Linked DNA regions of Arabidopsis thaliana. The protein of the gene in region 2 interacts with the protein of the main gene of each other region in a pairwise test. Each region holds a gene or a part of one and is shown on either strand. Other genes may lie near its edges.

Region 1 (9,228 bases), on a different chromosome or scaffold from region 2:
AGAAGATATCAGAAAATCTTATAAAATGCAAAGTCTAGGAAACCTCAAGTGGTGATGTTGGGGTAGCCCAGCCAGAAAGTCCTGCCCCGAGGATCTTCAGATAAGAGATAAGAACGTAAGCATGCTGCAAGTCAGTGATCTAACCAAAATCTGTGTTGCAAAACAAAGTATATCTTGCATGAATATAACTTACTCGAAGCTTCTGCCCCACAAACAATTTGCCAGCATTCAGCTGCTTGGTTAGCACGACATCCAGAGCAGCATTCATCGAGTACCTGTGATTTAAAAAAAAATCCTATGGAAATGAGACAAGAAAACAGGTAACAGAACAGCAGTAGCAATTTCATACCACCCATCAGTGAGTTCGACTTTCACATTGCTGCAATTATCAGAACAATGTGCTTCCTGAGAACCATTATCGGTCCTTGGATTAATAGCTGATATGCAGAGGACCATCATTGAAGAAGCTGGAGCATCACCACTCAGAATCCTCTTGATTGCAGAGCAATGACCATGATTGACCTCTCTCTCATATCTATTAAGAAGATTAACCATGTTAGACTTTGCATGAGTTTAAGTAACGAGTTGTGTTGTGAGACTGGGAAACCTGTATTTTAGTTCCTCAAGAACATTGGTGATTGTTAGAAAGTTTCCTCTGCATTTGGCTGGGTAGTATATGTCGTAGCATGCAAGTTTCCAGACTATCCACCTGTAGTGATTAGTAACCCACCTAGTGCATATGTAGTGATAGATAAGTTAATAGATATAGACATCAAACTGTCTATCTAATAGAGTGACAATCACATGCAAGCTTCAAACGAACAGTCACACACTTTTTCTGATATAATAAACATATAACACGGTTAACATTTCAAGGGACAGAGAAAGTACTTTCTGGATGCATGTTGTAAGGAAGCACCCGACTCAGCCAACATTTGAAGAAAAGTTTCAGCTCCAACCTTGTTTGAAGAAGACTCATCACAGAATACATATTTATCTGCATTACTTGATTTGATTCTTCTGACATGGTCTGGCACATAATCCATCTAAAACCACCTCGTAAATGTGTTTGAGTGAATGAAGAAAAAATTTATGTAACGCAGGAACAGGTGAAAGGGACAAAAAGATTTTACCCTGGTCGTAGCTGTCGGATGCATTCCAAAAAACTCCTTGATATATACTCTTGGAGACTTTTCTGGATATCTTGTAGAAAGTACCTTTTTGGAAGTAAGTGTATCACACGATACAACAGACAAACCTGATAATAGACAGGACACCAAAATTATAAATCTGAGAACCAACCAATTAGATTAACAAAAAATTAAAATTAAAATTAATCGTATATATTACCACTTGAAGCTTGCTGAGCATTTTTCTTTAAAGGAGTTTTAAAGGATGAAATCCTTGGCCTTTTGAAAGGAGAAACGGAGACTGTCTTTCCCAGCCTTTTCTTTTGGGTACTGTCTTGTTTATTGTTTGCATAAGCTGTATCTCTGCGATTTGTTATATCAACAAGTGGCTGATCAGCAGGCCTTCCAAGTTGCCTAGCTCTTGGAATGAAACCGTTTCCCTTGGAATTATTCACTGCCATATCTGATGCTAAAGGCCTGTTATTTGATAGTCCATGTGTAGCAGGTTTACTGATATTCAGAGCACAATTGGTCTCATCAACAGCCGTATCAAATTTCTTGATCAAATTACCCCCTGAAGCTAGGTTCTCCAAGTTAACTGATCTAAATTGCTTTGAAGATGAATGAAGAGGAGATACAAAACTATTTGACGTATGTTTGTTGCTTGTCTTTTCTTCATGAGCAATATAACCTGTGTTGACACTTCCATTGTTTATAGCAATATCACTTAGCCTTTCATCTTTCTGTGGTGTAAAAAATTGATCACCTCCAGCTACATCATCAAAGAAAGACCCTAACTCAGGGTCACCAAGAAGGTTTCTGGCACGTTTCAACGCCTCAGCTGACACTGACAATGATTTTCCACCAGCAGTCTGAAACTTTGTTGGAGGCACCTTTAACGATGGATTTAAGATTTCAGATCTCTTCCCAGATACATAATTCTCATATTGTCCTGGAGTTCCTGAATGATGCTTAACCACTGTAGCATCAAACTCCTCATGAGTTTTTAAACCGGACCACCCATGTTGCTGGAGGGAAGAAGACGACTGGTTCACATGGTTAAATCCATTCAAATCATCTTCTTCTAGTCCTAACAATGCCTTGGCTCTTGCTAAACCGGCAGAAGATACATTAACCTTTTTGTTGGAAGCTGTCTGAAAAAGACTGTTGGGAACACCAAACCCACTCTCCCTGGGAAGAACGTTGTCTACACAATCAAAAAGAATCTTATTAACAAATAAACTATGAAAAAATGTCACTTCTAATATTTATTCTCTAAACGAAGTAAGATGTGTGTTGATTAGTTCTTCACTATTCATCGTTTTATCTGATAACAACCAAACTCAAGAAACCTGGAAGTTGAACGGAGTAGCAGCACAAACAACAAGTTCATATGTAAATGCGCACACAGCTGGATATAAGACTTAAAAAAAGAGGAGATAAGAACACACCTGAGTCAATTATCATATCACTTCCTAGAATAGACAAAGGTTTGGCAATTGAAGACTCTTTCAAAGGGACAGTTTTCCCCAAGGCCGTCCTGAACATTGGCATAGTTTCAGCTGTATCCACTTGTCTCGTTTGGGGAATTGAGCAATTTGTGTTCTGCAAATCTAAAAGTGTAGCCAAGAACATGGAACATTCAAAAGATTTTCAGGAACACATATTCACCAACATTAAGTAACAATTCAAGCGAATTCAGAAACAAATGACTAGTCAAGGGAATTCAATACTGTCACATAAAATACCTGAATAAGCAACATTCTCTGCTAAAATGGATTTGGCTTTAGCAATCGAAGACTCTTTAAGAACTACAGACTTCCCCAGCCCAGTCCTGAACATTGGGATTTCCCCAGGCATCGATTCTTCCCGTTCTATAAGCTTCGAGCATCCTTGAAGCATCAAATAATAATTCAATCTCCTTTGAGTCACATGACAAACACGATTCGACAAAGAAAAGGAAGATACGAAGAATCACCTTGGAGCAAGAGATCGGCCATGGAAGGTAGAGGAGCTGTCGATTCGAGCGCCTTGGTTGGCGTAGAATCCGAGACGGACTGAAGAATCCGGCCAGCGACTTCCCACCGGAAACCATCGCCGCTGGAATCGGAAAATAAATGCCACGTCGACATTTATTCAGTTCTAGGGTTTCCAAGTTTTCCGATTCGTCGTTATATGATTCAGCCGGAGAACTAAACCTCGCGATTCAGAATTGCCTACCACGCCAAGAGGGAGGAGTCGGGAGTGCGGAATTTTTATTTTTATTGTTTTATTTTCTTTCCCCAAACCAAAATCATCACCAAAAATCCAAAAAGTTAAAAGTTCTGACAAAGGCGGGAAAGTTGAAAAAGATTTGGGCCGAAATTATGAGACGCGTGGTTTTATTTTAACTTTGGGCTTGGTTTTTACGGACATAGCGTTCCAAGACAAGTGTGATATTGCCACGGCCTTTTATTGCGGTAACTAACGGCACGAATGCTAACCCGAAATCGTTCCAAACAATAATTGCTTACGTGGACATTTTAAAACATCTGTTCAATGTGATTGGTGACTGACTTCAATGAAAATTACATTGCAACAATGGTCAAGTATCACAGAAAATTACATTGCAACAATCTCCACCTTCAAATCTCTAAACACGCCAGATTCTGAGAACTATAATTTACACGGGGGAAGCCGCTGAGGAGGCAGAGGGTGCTACAGAGGGGATCGCGGGAACACCGATGAATGAGAGGAATCCGGAGGCGGCATGATCTTGTTCGTCGAGGAAGAGATCATCGGGAGCTCTAAAGGCGCCATGGACACAGATTGTTGCTATTCCGATCATGAGAGCGGATATCAATACAGATCCGACGCTTGTGAAGAAGATCACTGCGATCGTGGAGAGGATTAGGCCACCGAGAGTTTCGTATTCGGAGAAAGATCGGCCGAAGAGGATAAGAGGACGATCTGATGGACGGAAGAGGTAGAGGAAGAGCCAGGAAGCGGCGAGACATAGGAGGAGGATGAGAGAGAATGGGTGGGCGAGAAGAGAGAAACCAAGGATCAGAGCGACAATGCAAACGTAATTCACCCTGAAATAAGAGGAATTTTTCCGGAATCGCGTCCCGGCCTCGGAGAGAGAGTCAGGCTTTGTGAAAGCGGATCGATCGAGGAGCTCTGACCACGGACGGCTACGAGATAGACCACCACAGACCGTCTCGGTCACACCGTTGACAAATGCACGGACGACTGGAGGTTGCGATTCCACCACAGCGGTTACAATCGGAGGCTGATTGGTGGTGTCTGTTGCGGTGGTGGAAATTGGAAGAACAGGGGGATTTGTTGACACCATTCGATTTTGTTCTTTTGGGATTTTGAGATTGGAAAATTTTAGGAGACGAATGATTTAGAGGTTGCTGAAGTTGCGGTAGTGTTATGTATATATAGGATCACAATTACGCGTCTTTCAACTTTGATTATACACCTTGCTTCATCTGATAGCTAATCTATATTCATTTGCTAAAATAAAAATAAAAATAACCTCCTGATATTATAACTCAGGTTATTTTTTTGCTTAACGTAGTTTATACAATAATTCTTGATTACTTAGGCAAAGTGCATTTGACCATTAATGTTCCAGTCACAGGAAGTTTCCCTAATAGAAAATATTTTTAACACAATGTTGATCTGTCATATGGAGTAGTAGACTTGACAATGTCAAATCCTTTTTTCTTTGATAACATTCATCTTCGAATTCTAAACATAATTATATCTAACGAGTAGACAAAGACTAAATAACCATTGTTTACCCTGATAGTAAGTTGTAGCATCATATATAGCATAAATGTTATTTCTTAATGCAACTCCATCAAACCTTAGATATGTTTACAATACGAAGTAGTTCAAAGTTACTTGATCGATGAGAGTAGATCATACATTTCAAGACAATCACACTAATCACCTACCACGGAATTAAAGAGTCGCCCCGTTCCAACCAAAGAAGGATCCCTGCAAGAAGAACCACACGAGAAAAGAAATGTATAATTGATATATCAGGTGGTTATAGGCATAAACACTCCAGATGATGGATGACCCTCTAAGCCAGTTAGACAACGGATTTAGAGAAGTTGAACGAATCTCCTAAATAACTCAACAGTGTGGGTGTAAAGATTGAATTCGAGTAGTGGAACGGTTTATGCATTTGATTTAATTGTTTATAATGCCTAGTTTATGAGTAAAAGTTATAGGTCCGTCTTATGATGATGAACTTACACACATAAGATGTATTTGTTCCCTATTCATGACCTAGTAGTGCTGGTGTAAAGCGTGTAAACATTGTGCATATTCTTGACTTTGATGGTCCTAGAGAGACAACGAACAATGAAAATGAGACATGGACGCATATCGGGCATATGAAATCATTAACACATTTGCATATGTTATGTCACTACATCAAAAAAGTTATCAGAGAGAGGGAATTGCTTGCCTTGGTGTCATAAAACTTGAGGAAGAATCGAGACTTGGGCACCGATAGCTTAGTCTCAAGAATGGCGGAAACAGCAGCGCTTAGCTTCTTGTTCACATCCGCATTAAGGCCACCGATAGAAACTAATTCACCATAAGCTGCAGGATCCTCGGTCCCGCCAAATGACATAGGCACTGAGCCTTTCAAGACAATCATCACATACTGCAAATTACCACAATGAACAATGCAATCAGATAATGATCTAAGAAACAACATTACAGGACAAAAATATTTAAACATCACTAACATAAACAAGCAATCGTCAAAGCAGACCAATATTGTTTTTGAAAACAAACTTCAGCAATGAGAAATTCAAGGGCCAGGAATGGCCTAGAAATCGTGGTAAAATAAAAAAGAAGAACCCCAACGAAGATTGTACAAATAAGTCAAGAGAAGACTCCGGAAATGTGAACCACTAGAATAGAACGGAGCAACGAGATAAAATTGCTTAGGGTTTCTATATCATGCATGTGAAGAAAACAACACTCGAATCGCTGTTATTCAATAAGGAGAAGAAAATGATTAAGAGATAAAGACGCACACAAGGCAAATCTCAGGAGAAAACGAAGAATCGAAACAAAATTCGAACAGAACGAAACGAACTAGAGGTTAAATCGAGAGAGAAAAAGGGATTACGTTCTCAGGCTTGCCGATGATTTTCGCGACGGTGGAGGAAGCTTCCGAGAGAATGGAAGATGTATCGACGCCGTCAAGGTTAACGTTGGTGGAGAGGTTGAGGCACGGCATTTTCTTCTTCTTCTTCGTCTCTATCACTCGACGCCAATTTTTTTTAGTCAAGCGGATAAAGAGAGTAAGACCACCCAGGAATTTTCCCCTTTTATCCTTAAACCTTTTTTATTCGCTTAGGCCCAAGCCCATCGTTTTTACGTTTGCATTCTCGTTTCGAAGATTCTTTCAAACGCTCTGATGAAGTGATTTTGGATTATTTTGTTTAGAAATGGGCCTTAATCTAGTTATAAAAGCCCGCTCAAATTTGAGTGCCCAGGAACGTTTATAAAATAGATCTCTCGACCTAGACCCGAACGCACCTAATTGGTTAGATGTTTTTTTGTACTTTTTTATAGCAAATCGATATTTCCATTTTGCTTCTACTTCATAGAGGGAAACTCTTTCCCCAAAATCAAAACTCCTAAAGGCTTATCTCTGTCTCTCATGACTTGGCCACCAAAAAAACAACAGCTTCAAAGTTTCCCCATTTACAAAGCCACCGCAGATAGAAAGCAACGCCTACCGATCGAGGAAGAAGGCACGTTTTTCCACCCTTCACCTTCCTTAAAACACTCAACCTGCAAACACACACATGATCAAAGATTAAACCGTGTCTGCTTATGTAAATTGTTTTAATTTCATTTCAAGTTCAGAACTGATCCTACAGTGTCTAATATGTCATCCTCTTCCCCTTTGTATCCTCCGATCACATATATTGAGTCTTTAACCACTGCCACTGCTGAATATCCTCTTAAATCCTTCATTGGTTCTCCCGTCATCCATGTCCCTGTCCTTGGCTCATATATCTCAACACTCGATACCATTGTCTCACCATCAAACCCACCAATCGCATATCTGCAATAGTGCATATGAATACAACCTTAAAACTCTTACCCAAAATTTGTCTGTTAGTTACTCTCAAAGAAGAAGAAAAATGGGGAGAAGAAACTTACAGTTTTTCATTCAGAACAACAAGAGAATGGCAGCCTCTTCTCGACTTCATCGATGCAATATTCATCCAGGAGTGCTCTCTAGGATCAAACCTTTCAGCTGTGCTGTTAAAAGTAAGTTTCCAATAAATTGTTCTTGTTAGCTTCACATGTGTCAAGATTAGGGGAAAAAATAGAACACAAGGCTTAAATGTTCTTACTTCAGGTACTCTTTACCATCATAACCACCGACAGCATAAATTGAACTTTTATGCTCCACGGACGCAACTGCAAATCTCTGAGATCAAAGAGCAGTGACAACTCAGAGAATAAAGCCGAGGAGAAGGTCATGGTATCATCTTGCTAAGGCTTATAACCAGTAGGTGAGTGGAAGCATAAACTACATTTCTATTGTTAACCTGACACTCCTTACTTGAAATTATAACTTAGCGAAATAGAGTAGTTTTAACAATGGATTCTCTTTGGGAATTTATGTTTTTAGCTGTGAGCTTCTGTCAAAAATTTCCCAGTGGGGATCTAATTGACAACTTTTCAGATTTTTGGCTTTCACCATATGTCATGCGAATAGAGAAGAACGTTTACCTCCTGCCCCATTGACCTTGTTCTGATCCATCTCCCTATATCTGGATCAAGCATCTCAACATCTGAAAAAGATACCATCCCATTCCCACCTCCGATTGCAAATATTTTTCCATCCAAAGTGGCTCCACCTAAACTTCCTTTTCGCTCGTTTAAGGGGGGGCACAAGCTCCACTGGCCATCAGTCTGGTTAAAGGATTCAGCTTCACAGAAAAAAGAAGAGGCAAAACAGAAATCAAAGATCAGGCTTAAATAATTATGGTTAGAGAGAAAAAGAAGTGTGAAGTGGTAGACATTAACTTAAAATATGCACAGCCGAAGTGAAGTGCACTAAATTAATACACCTCACTTCACAATTTGCTAAAAATACTAGAGCCATTTGGTTTAGTAATATAATGAAAGTCACAGTAGTATGCTTTTGCCACCCATATTCCGTTTTCTAGTTCTTTTAGTTGTCTGTTAAGAATATCTGGAAGGTTTATAGGTTTATATATGTATTGTATACAGGCTCTAATGCACTAAATAGTTAACTCATTTTAAGAACAAGAGAAAAAGAGAGGCCGTACCTGAGTTGGTCCAGCCACGGCCACCGTCATCACCTCCAAAGACGTAAATTTTACCATCCAACTTTGCCACTGATGCATTTGAACGGATACAGCTCATTGAACTATGAGCCTTTACAACATTCCTGGATGGAAAATATGACTGCACTGATGACAACCATGTTTCAGAGTCTTTATCAAATCCCCCTAAAAGAAGAATTGCCTCAGTTGGATCTAAGCTGGTATCATCTGGTGAATGGATCTCCAAATCACTGCCACCAGCTTTGGTGATTAAAGGACCTGATATGGACTCCAGCATGTTGCAACGCTCTGTCAATTGATAAATTTCCTTGTGTGCTTTGTCCTGAAATACCAAATATCGAAAAGTAAAAGTGTTATGGTTTCTCCACCACTATATTTTGAGCTTATTGGTTCCAAAAACAAGGGAAAATGATACCGAGATGAACCCCTAGCTGAAAATGATAGAGGATCATTATCACTGATATAATGAATATCTGTGTGGGTGTGGTCATATTACACATGCAAACAGAATTCCAGCAGGAAGAATGAAAATCAAAATAGCAATAAACAAAATCTTACCAGCTTCTCTTCCAAGTAACATATCTTGGTTGAATTTTCCAGCCCGCATGCCCTGAGTTCCTTCACCTCATGCATCAACTGCAAAATATTTAGCCAATATGATCCCATTGATTTTGATACACCCAAGAGACATGATAATCTTCCGAGAAGGAATTACAAGTCTCAATTAACTATAGATCATAGTCTTTGGA
Region 2 (8,810 bases):
GATTAGTAACAGTAATAGAGACACTGTGGAAACATTACCTCAACAGCTAATGTACCAAAGCCTCCATATATAATTTTCTGGTATTCGTTTGCTTTGAACTCAGCAGCTATACAAAAAGGAAATGGTGATTGTTTTTCCTTCCTGAAAATCAATCAGACGGTTTCTAAGATCAATGAGTTATCGGTATGACTAAACTGAGGCAACTCTAGCAGGTATGAGAAACTTTCTCTGCATCAAAGATCAAAAGCATGTTATATAACAAGTAATAACTATCATAAACCATTTCCTCTGTCACGGCAAAACTAAACCTCTACATAATTTGGTACAGAGAGTTGTTGGTTTCTTTCCTGGAGTTTTCCGTTGTCCAATTTGTGAAGTCGAAAATGTCAGGTGGTCTTTAATTATTCATGATCTTGCAGTTTTAAACCAGAAACTGATGGTAAAACTATGATTGTACGCAGATTGAATTGGTGTAATGAAAAGAGGTAATTAAGCATCTTAGCCAACCCTGACGGACTTGTTGTGTCAATAAATTTTTGTCTAACTATTTGATTCAACAAAACCTTTTAACACAAGATTCCCTCTCTCACTTGTACTTTTGTTTGCCTAGATTTGACTCCATGTTAACTTTTCCCACTGGATGTGTGCATTTGGGTTATAAGCAGATGTTGAAACGGTTGCCTTCGAATCAAGGTCATCTACACATGACTGCAGGACCAAGTGAGTGAAGCCGGGGCGGTTGAAGCCCTTGATTCTCATCTGAAGAATGATACTATTACCATGGTAAGGAAGCAACCAATGACAATTCTAGTATCAACTATTTGCTTTGACAATTCCAAAAAAATTATATTTATTTATAGTAACTCATTCTGACTATGTAGTATATTGTTTTATACTTCTATCATAAAAAAATTGAGTTGCGACATTTTGAATCCTAGTATCAAATTTAAATACTACCACCGCAGGATAACTAGAAGTGGACTACTTGAACATAAGCAAATCCAGATGGTCGAGGGTAGCTAAATGGTACTTAACCATGTTAAATTAAACCGATATTTAACCGGTACTCTTAAACCAATAGCGTTTGAAATTGGCGCAAAACAACTATAATTGAGCGAGAGTGGTAGAGAGGAGCAGAGGAGGTTTAATGGAAATCGAGCGTAAGCTGCTGCGTCTTCTCCACGGCCACAATACTCGAACCCGTTTACCCGAAATCCACGCCCATCTTCTGCGTCACTTCCTTCATGGTTCCAATCTCCTTCTCGCCCACTTCATCTCTATCTGCGGATCCCTCAGCAACTCTGATTACGCCAACCGCGTCTTCTCTCATATCCAAAACCCTAACGTTCTGGTCTTCAACGCCATGATCAAATGCTATTCGCTTGTCGGTCCGCCTCTAGAATCTTTATCTTTCTTCTCTTCCATGAAAAGCCGGGGAATTTGGGCTGACGAGTATACTTACGCGCCTTTGCTCAAATCCTGTTCGTCTCTTTCTGATTTGCGATTTGGGAAATGCGTTCATGGTGAGCTTATAAGAACTGGGTTCCACCGTCTTGGGAAAATTAGGATTGGGGTGGTGGAGCTTTATACTTCCGGTGGGAGAATGGGTGATGCACAGAAAGTGTTCGACGAAATGTCTGAGAGAAACGTTGTCGTCTGGAATCTTATGATTCGCGGGTTCTGTGACTCCGGGGACGTTGAAAGAGGTCTTCATTTGTTCAAACAGATGAGCGAAAGAAGCATTGTGTCGTGGAATTCGATGATATCTAGCTTGTCTAAATGTGGTAGAGATCGTGAGGCTTTGGAGCTTTTCTGCGAAATGATTGATCAAGGTTTTGACCCTGATGAGGCGACTGTGGTTACAGTCTTGCCAATTTCTGCATCTCTAGGAGTGTTGGATACCGGAAAATGGATTCATTCTACCGCAGAATCCAGTGGTTTGTTTAAAGATTTCATCACCGTGGGAAACGCTTTGGTAGATTTCTACTGCAAAAGCGGCGACTTGGAGGCAGCAACGGCTATATTTAGAAAAATGCAGCGTAGAAACGTTGTTTCATGGAACACATTGATATCGGGATCAGCCGTAAACGGAAAGGGAGAATTTGGGATAGACTTGTTTGATGCTATGATAGAGGAAGGGAAAGTAGCTCCAAATGAAGCGACATTTTTGGGGGTTTTGGCATGTTGCTCATACACAGGTCAGGTGGAGAGAGGAGAGGAATTGTTTGGTTTGATGATGGAAAGATTCAAACTTGAGGCGAGAACCGAGCATTACGGTGCCATGGTAGATCTAATGAGTAGAAGTGGGAGAATCACAGAGGCGTTTAAGTTTCTAAAAAATATGCCCGTAAACGCAAATGCGGCAATGTGGGGGTCGCTGCTCAGTGCTTGTCGTAGCCACGGAGATGTAAAGCTAGCAGAAGTTGCAGCAATGGAGTTAGTGAAGATTGAGCCAGGGAATTCGGGGAATTATGTGTTGTTATCTAATTTGTATGCAGAGGAAGGGAGATGGCAAGATGTGGAGAAGGTACGAACGTTGATGAAAAAGAACCGCCTTAGAAAGTCTACTGGCCAAAGCACCATTTGCGATGTTTCAGTCTGAGAAGTAGCTGGTTTTTGTCAATAGAGGCCAGACTTATTGCTAAATACGGTAATCAAGTTCATTTGTAAGCACATTTGTATTTTTCTGGCTCGGTGAAAATGCGGCCACCAGGTTTGATTAGTTTCTAATGAATTGATTAGAACAAAAATCTGTTTTGTTCGGTTTCTTTCAACAAAGAAACACAACTACGCCAATAGTATAATGCACAAGAAGTTTGGAGTCGACTTACTACTATTAAAACTTAAAAGAAAACCAGAATAGAGAGAGTGAGATGTCTGATTCATAAAACGTGAAGCAAATCACCAATGCTGTCTTGGTTTCCTACTTGATATACTGAGATAGCCATTTAAAACCCTCGCCATAACCCATTTTGCGGACGATGCTGCACATGAAGACCTCAAGGGGACGAACACCAGAGTCTTCAAGATTCACTATGCCTTTACCGGTAGTGAAATTGGTGAGACCTAAGTAATACCTAAGCTCATCTTCTGAGGATGCATAAGGTATATCAATCTTGTTGCCAAGAATAAGACAGGGAACATTTGCTAAGGCTTCATCTGATAAAAGAGCGTCTAGCTCTCTTTTCGACTCCACAAATCTATCCCTGTCGTAAGCATCCACTAGGTAGACAACAGCATCAACCTTTATAGTTTATACACACACACAGAGAAAGATTTGATTTTGGTTCCATCATAAGCAAATCAATAAACACAAAACATGTAATCTAGTTAGGATTAGGATGTGAACCTTGGCATAGCAGTCTTTCCAAACCCTACGAGCAATCTGATGGCCACCCAAATCAAAGGCCTTGAAGTTGATTTTGCCAATGCTAAGTTCCTCAGACGTGGGATGCTGTGTTGGCTGGTGCTGAACTAATCTCTGCAACACCAAAAGCGATATTAAAGCATCTTCGATTACAAGAATCACAAAATTTCTCAGTAATACATATATTAGTTGAAGAGAGAGCGTAGAAGTAATAAAGCCTACCTCATCTTTGAGCATGTGAAGCAAAGTAGTTTTTCCGGCATTGTCGAGGCCTAAAAACAAGATTTTCGCCTCTTTTTTGCACAACCCTAACGAGGCCAAGATTCCATAGAACCAATCGAATAAAAACATGACGTCTTCTTCCTGATATCGGATTATAATCCACACAACAACCAAAAAAATCACCAGAACAGAATCGGGAGACAGAGAGAGATGAAGAACAGAACAGAAAACCAAAATCAAAGTTTCGTTTCGTTGATGAAGATATAGTTGTATGTTGTAACATTAGTGTATATATATGCAAACAAAAAAAGAAATTAAAAAACACGTGGGTAATGGGGACTGGTAAATTGATGCGGAGCCTTGTGATTGGTAGTCATCATCGTCATTCGATCAATATGAACCGTCGGATCCTAGAACTTGTCGTTGCGATGTTTTTTATTACGTTAAACTTTTTAAGATTAAAGGCTTAATACCACGTGGCAAAACCTTAATGGCCAGGACCCAGGAGAGTTTATTTCCTCCACAAGTTATTATTATGAGCCGTCTGAGGAAAGCTACCCACATTTAATTCAAACACATAGGATACATTTTTTTTATTGTTCAACAGACATGATCAAAGTGTATATACAATGGAGTATTTAACTTTGAAACAGAAATAAAATAACATGTAATTACTGTTTCAACGCATAAAGAATCAAAGTGCTTACGAAGACGAGAAATATTGTAGTTCCGGTGAGACCACGGTGTTTGAAGCAGTCACCCCCGCTTCCTACAGAATGGCCACCACCGGTACCGCCATTACCATTTCCACTGCTGCCACGGCCGCCGCTATTAGAAGATCCTCTACTGCCCCCTTTACCGCTGTTGCCGCCTCGACCACTGCTGCCACCTCCACCACCACCACGACCTCCTCCACCGCCACCACCGCTGCTTCGAAGCTCCCGCTGCCAAACCGGGAAATCTATCTTACAACACGTTTTGTTACCTAAGATGGAATTAGGTTTCAGATGGACGGCTGAGACAGAAGTATTTGTGATTGAAGCAACGGCTTGGATATGCGCATGAATCGCTAGTAACAATAGTAATACGTGAACCATACGTTTCATGAATCTGTGTATCTCCATACTAATCTTTTCTTTTATGTTTATTTATCGCTCTAACCCAAAAAGGAAAAAATGAGCTTTTGTGTAGTACGATCTCTGTTTATATTTCATCTGGTCAACGTCTAAAATCTAACTTCATTTCCTAGGAAAAAAGAAATGGATGCCACTACTAGTCTACTATAGAGCAATATTAGCGAAATATTTACGTTTATGTAAGGTGTCGAGCCTCTCATTTATCAAATTTTGAAAAATTCCTAAGGAAAGGCCAACTAACTTTTTCTTAGCTATGAACAGGCCCAACAACTTTGCTTGGGTCATAGGTCCCACGAGGAAAAAAAAGAATTTTGGATATGGCCTGGCTAAATCTATCTTTATGTATTTTTGTTATGTTCAATTTTACGATCATTACAAGCACAAACATTAACTTAAGTAGGTCTATTTACTATCTTTAATTTCTGTTTCATTTCGTTTAATTTCTGAATGAGTCTAGTTACGTTCCATTGGTTTCATTTTCCAGGCATAATCAATACACAACATTAAGTGACCAAACTAAACTAACCTATTACAATGTCTACCTCTTCTCATTCCGTTCACGACCCGCAACACGCATCACAGATCATTTTACAATAATCTACATCAGGTTACCAACTGGTGCTAAACTAATTAGTCTCAAGTTTCCAAGCATTATACGATATATAGCAACATATAACTTCGTGGTAATACGTGTCTGTTTTTTTCCCAATATCGTGTGTATTATATACACCATTAAAATATTATATCTTCACCAATTTTTGAATGAGTTGGTATCATGTACTCCATGAATGTATCACAAAGCGAAAAAAAAAGAATTAATATTATTGAAAAAAGTCTACAAGAAATTGAAGTATATAATTTTCAATGAATTGGATTATCAATAGGGTCACATTCAAAGATGTGGTTACAATCATCAAAGCAAAACTTTTTTCGTTTGTATTTCTAAATATCTTATTTCTTGTTGACTGAATTATATATATCTCGAAGGAAAACTAAAAATAAATTTTCAAGCTGACTTTTATTCAGCTGGTTATAAAACCATCGAATCATGTTTATATTGGCTTTCAAAACACCTCTACATACGCAAGAAAAAATAGTTATACAAGGTAGTTGTCCAACCAAGAGTTTCATTATAAGCCTTTATTTCTTCATAGAATTTAGAGATCCCCAGAATTTATTTTCACTTTCTAATTTATTATAAGGGAAGTAAAATAGCTCTGCATAGAATTGCACATTTCTATTGGTATATAACTAGCTACACATGCAACTTTTCAAATTTAAACATAAATTTTAATAAGACAATGGTATTACTTATTAGTACAAAGAGATACAAATTCTGTTTAGATCAACTGGGAATTGTAATCGCTAAGAATTTTTGTTAAAACATAGTACAAATTTATTTATTCCCATTATAAAACCTAGTGGATGGTTGGAAACTACATAAACGGGTTATAAATTCCGTAGCTATAGAAGTTCGTACATATTAAAATGGAGCAATTAAGAATAATAAACAGAAAATGATTTATAATATTGAAATTGTCCATCTATAGAAACCCAGGAGACTCGGGGGCCTCTGAATCATGCCTCGCTCTTCTTCTTCGTTTCCTTTTTCTGTTGTTTTAATTTCATACAAAGAACAACAAAAAAACAAAAAAAAAACAAAGAGAGGGTCAAACATTTTTTTTGTTCTCTCTCAATTTCTTTCATTATATTTTCTCTTCCTTATAAATCTGAGCAATGTTCCACATATAAGTGAATATTCTTGTATCTATCTACACAGCTTTGATTTTCTTTGTTCGGTTTTGGAAAAATCTGTTTCGAGTTAAGAATTCTAAATTTTGGTTGTGAGATTCTAGTGGTCGAGATTTGGGGTTTGAGAATTTTCCAGGTTTCTTGTTGATCAAGCTAAGAGCATTGAATCGTTTCTTGTCAATGGCGACGGAGCAACAAGATTCACAACTTTGTTTGGCGACGATTCTGGAGGATTTTCTTAAACAACGAAACATTCAAGTTAGCGTTGGTGTGGATTCTTCGAGCTTGAAAAAAGCCGATGAAACTTGTACGTTCGTCAATATTCCTCTGTTCTTTCTTTTTCTATTTGTCCTTTTGGTCCATTTTTGAGATTAGGGTTTGTAATTGATAATTGAATTAGGGAATATAGATGGATTACATAATTTTTTTAGGATGATCCATCGCATTTTTTGAATCCATATACCGCGTGAGCTTCTTGTTTCACCAATGATTTTCTGAAATTTTGTTGTTACGATCTTTATATTTGTTTACCTAGATCATCATGAAACATATTTCATATTTTTAAGTGCTTATTTTAATCATCACAATTGGTGTAGTTGGAGGAAGGGATTTGCCAGTAGATCCTTCAGACTTGAGAAGGTATGAAGCAGCAAGGTGGGTAAGGAACACACTTGGTGTAGTTGGAGGAAGAGATTTGCCAGCAGATCCTTCAGAGGAAGATTTTAGAATTGCATTAAGAAGTGGAATTTTACTCTGCAATGTCCTCAACAGAGTTAAACCTGGTGCTGTCCCAAAAGTAATGTCTCTCACCTAATTTCTCTTATGTTTTCCTCTTCTTTATTACAGAATATTTTATGCTCAACTTTTTCAAAGACTTTTTTGAAACGTTTAGGCCTGCTTGTATAAAGTTGTGCAAGCATGATTAGTACAACCATTTTGTGTAATATTTTTATAAAAGAGGTTGAGAAATTGATTCTTTTGTTGCCGATACCTTTGTTATTAGGACCGTTTGTTCTGATTGTTTCAGTCTTGATTCAGGTCGTCGAAGCTCCAAATGATCCTCTTGTTAATCAAGACGGTGCAGCTCTATCTGCGTTTCAGTACTTTGAAAATCTTCGAAATTTTCTTGTGTTTGTGGAGGAAATGGGTATTCCAACGTTTGAAGTCTCCGATTTTGAGAAGGTAATGGTTAGGTTCGAATCAATGGTCATCATAGTTATTCAAGGCAGCTTGACCTACCTTGCCGGAGGGGTTACCTAGACAAAGCTGAATTAACATTGACACACATTCTGTTTTGTGCTTGATGTGTTGTTCTCAGGGAGGTAAATCCGCAAGAATCGTGGAGTGTGTTTTGGCTCTAAAGTCATATCGTGAGTGGAAACAGAGCGGAGGAAGCGGTACATGGAGATACATTCTGAACTCAAAACCAACCACGTTTGGCATTGCAAAACAATACAAACGCAAAGACTCAGAAGTACCTGTGGATGCTGTCACAAATAGCCCTTCTAGCACTCCATCAAGTGAACAACCTTTGTTAGATCAATCTGATTCTAATACCAAAAATGATGTTAGTTAGCTATACCAATGCCTCCCTAGCTAGTATTGATTAAAGTTAAAGCTCTCAACTTACATTTTTAGTTTTTTTTTTAGGGAACTGCCAGTTCAATAGATGCCATTGTCCGTGCTGTTTTTTCTGATATGAAGCAAGAAGATATTCCAGTAGTAAGTATTAACTTACCAAATGATCAATATTATTTTGAAATGCAGGTTTTAGAATAATACTCTCTGCCGTTCTTGTTTATTTCCAGATTGTGGAAGATATGCTGAAAAGCGTTATGGTAGAATATGAACGTAGATTAGCAACACAGAACGAATTGGTAAGTAACTTTAGTTATTCACCCTTAGATCTAATGATCTCATGTATCTTGGATTACAAGGAATTATACCTTTTTTACACTTTTTATCTTGAATATGCAATTATTTAGCTACTGATGAGCGCGGGAAACAGAGATAAGCTTGGCAGTGGCGATCTTGGGAGAACTATTTCAGGAAATGAGGAGACGCTAAGTGATGCTTCGGTAATTGTACCACCCTTGAAGTTGGTGATCTTGTTATCCATATAAGCATACTACGATCTTCATGGATTTGTATATCTATCATCATAATGTGTTATATGCCAAACTGGTTTAATGATTACATATTTATGCAGTACGGAGAAGAAAACGTGACAGAGATTGTAAACAACAACATGGAAGCTTCACAAGATAGTAATGTTGAAGAATTGGAAAACCAAGATTATGAGCTCTATGCAATTTCAAAAGAGAAGACCGAGA

What was found.
Region 1: the proteins of SARA1A (region 2) and PRA1.B5 interact in a two-hybrid assay, tested with the Arabidopsis thaliana proteins (one large-scale study listed by BioGRID).

What each region holds. Positions count from the first base shown.
Region 1 is NC_003076.8:237,650-246,877, forward strand, and holds PRA1.B5 (prenylated RAB acceptor 1.B5), read right to left. Parts: upstream 4,674-9,228; 5' UTR 4,465-4,673; coding exon 3,793-4,464; 3' UTR 3,563-3,792; downstream 1-3,562. Other genes in the region: BRCA2B (BRCA2-like B), read right to left, coding at 44-94, 194-275, 350-535, 608-730, 892-1,046, 1,134-1,258, 1,351-2,337, 2,582-2,743 and 2 more; AT5G01650 (Tautomerase/MIF superfamily protein), read right to left, coding at 5,418-5,474, 5,599-5,799, 6,274-6,384; AT5G01660 (influenza virus NS1A-binding protein), read right to left, coding at 6,855-6,944, 7,032-7,221, 7,320-7,421, 7,517-7,593, 7,899-8,098, 8,462-8,801, 9,038-9,115. UniProt on the Arabidopsis thaliana protein: May be involved in both secretory and endocytic intracellular trafficking in the endosomal/prevacuolar compartments.
Region 2 is NC_003070.9:2,960,055-2,968,864, reverse strand, and holds SARA1A (secretion-associated RAS super family 1), read right to left. Parts: upstream 3,843-8,810; 5' UTR 3,719-3,842; coding exon 3,590-3,718; intron 3,482-3,589; coding exon 3,350-3,481; intron 3,245-3,349; coding exon 2,924-3,244; 3' UTR 2,893-2,923; downstream 1-2,892. Other genes in the region: AT1G09195 (Ppx-GppA phosphatase), read left to right, coding at 107-145; AT1G09190 (Tetratricopeptide repeat (TPR)-like superfamily protein), read left to right, coding at 1,148-2,602; AT1G09176 (uncharacterized protein), read right to left, coding at 4,261-4,713; AT1G09170 (P-loop nucleoside triphosphate hydrolases superfamily protein with CH (Calponin Homology) domain-containing protein), read left to right, coding at 6,658-6,784, 7,074-7,273, 7,516-7,659, 7,796-8,044, 8,128-8,199, 8,286-8,354, 8,463-8,555, 8,687-8,810.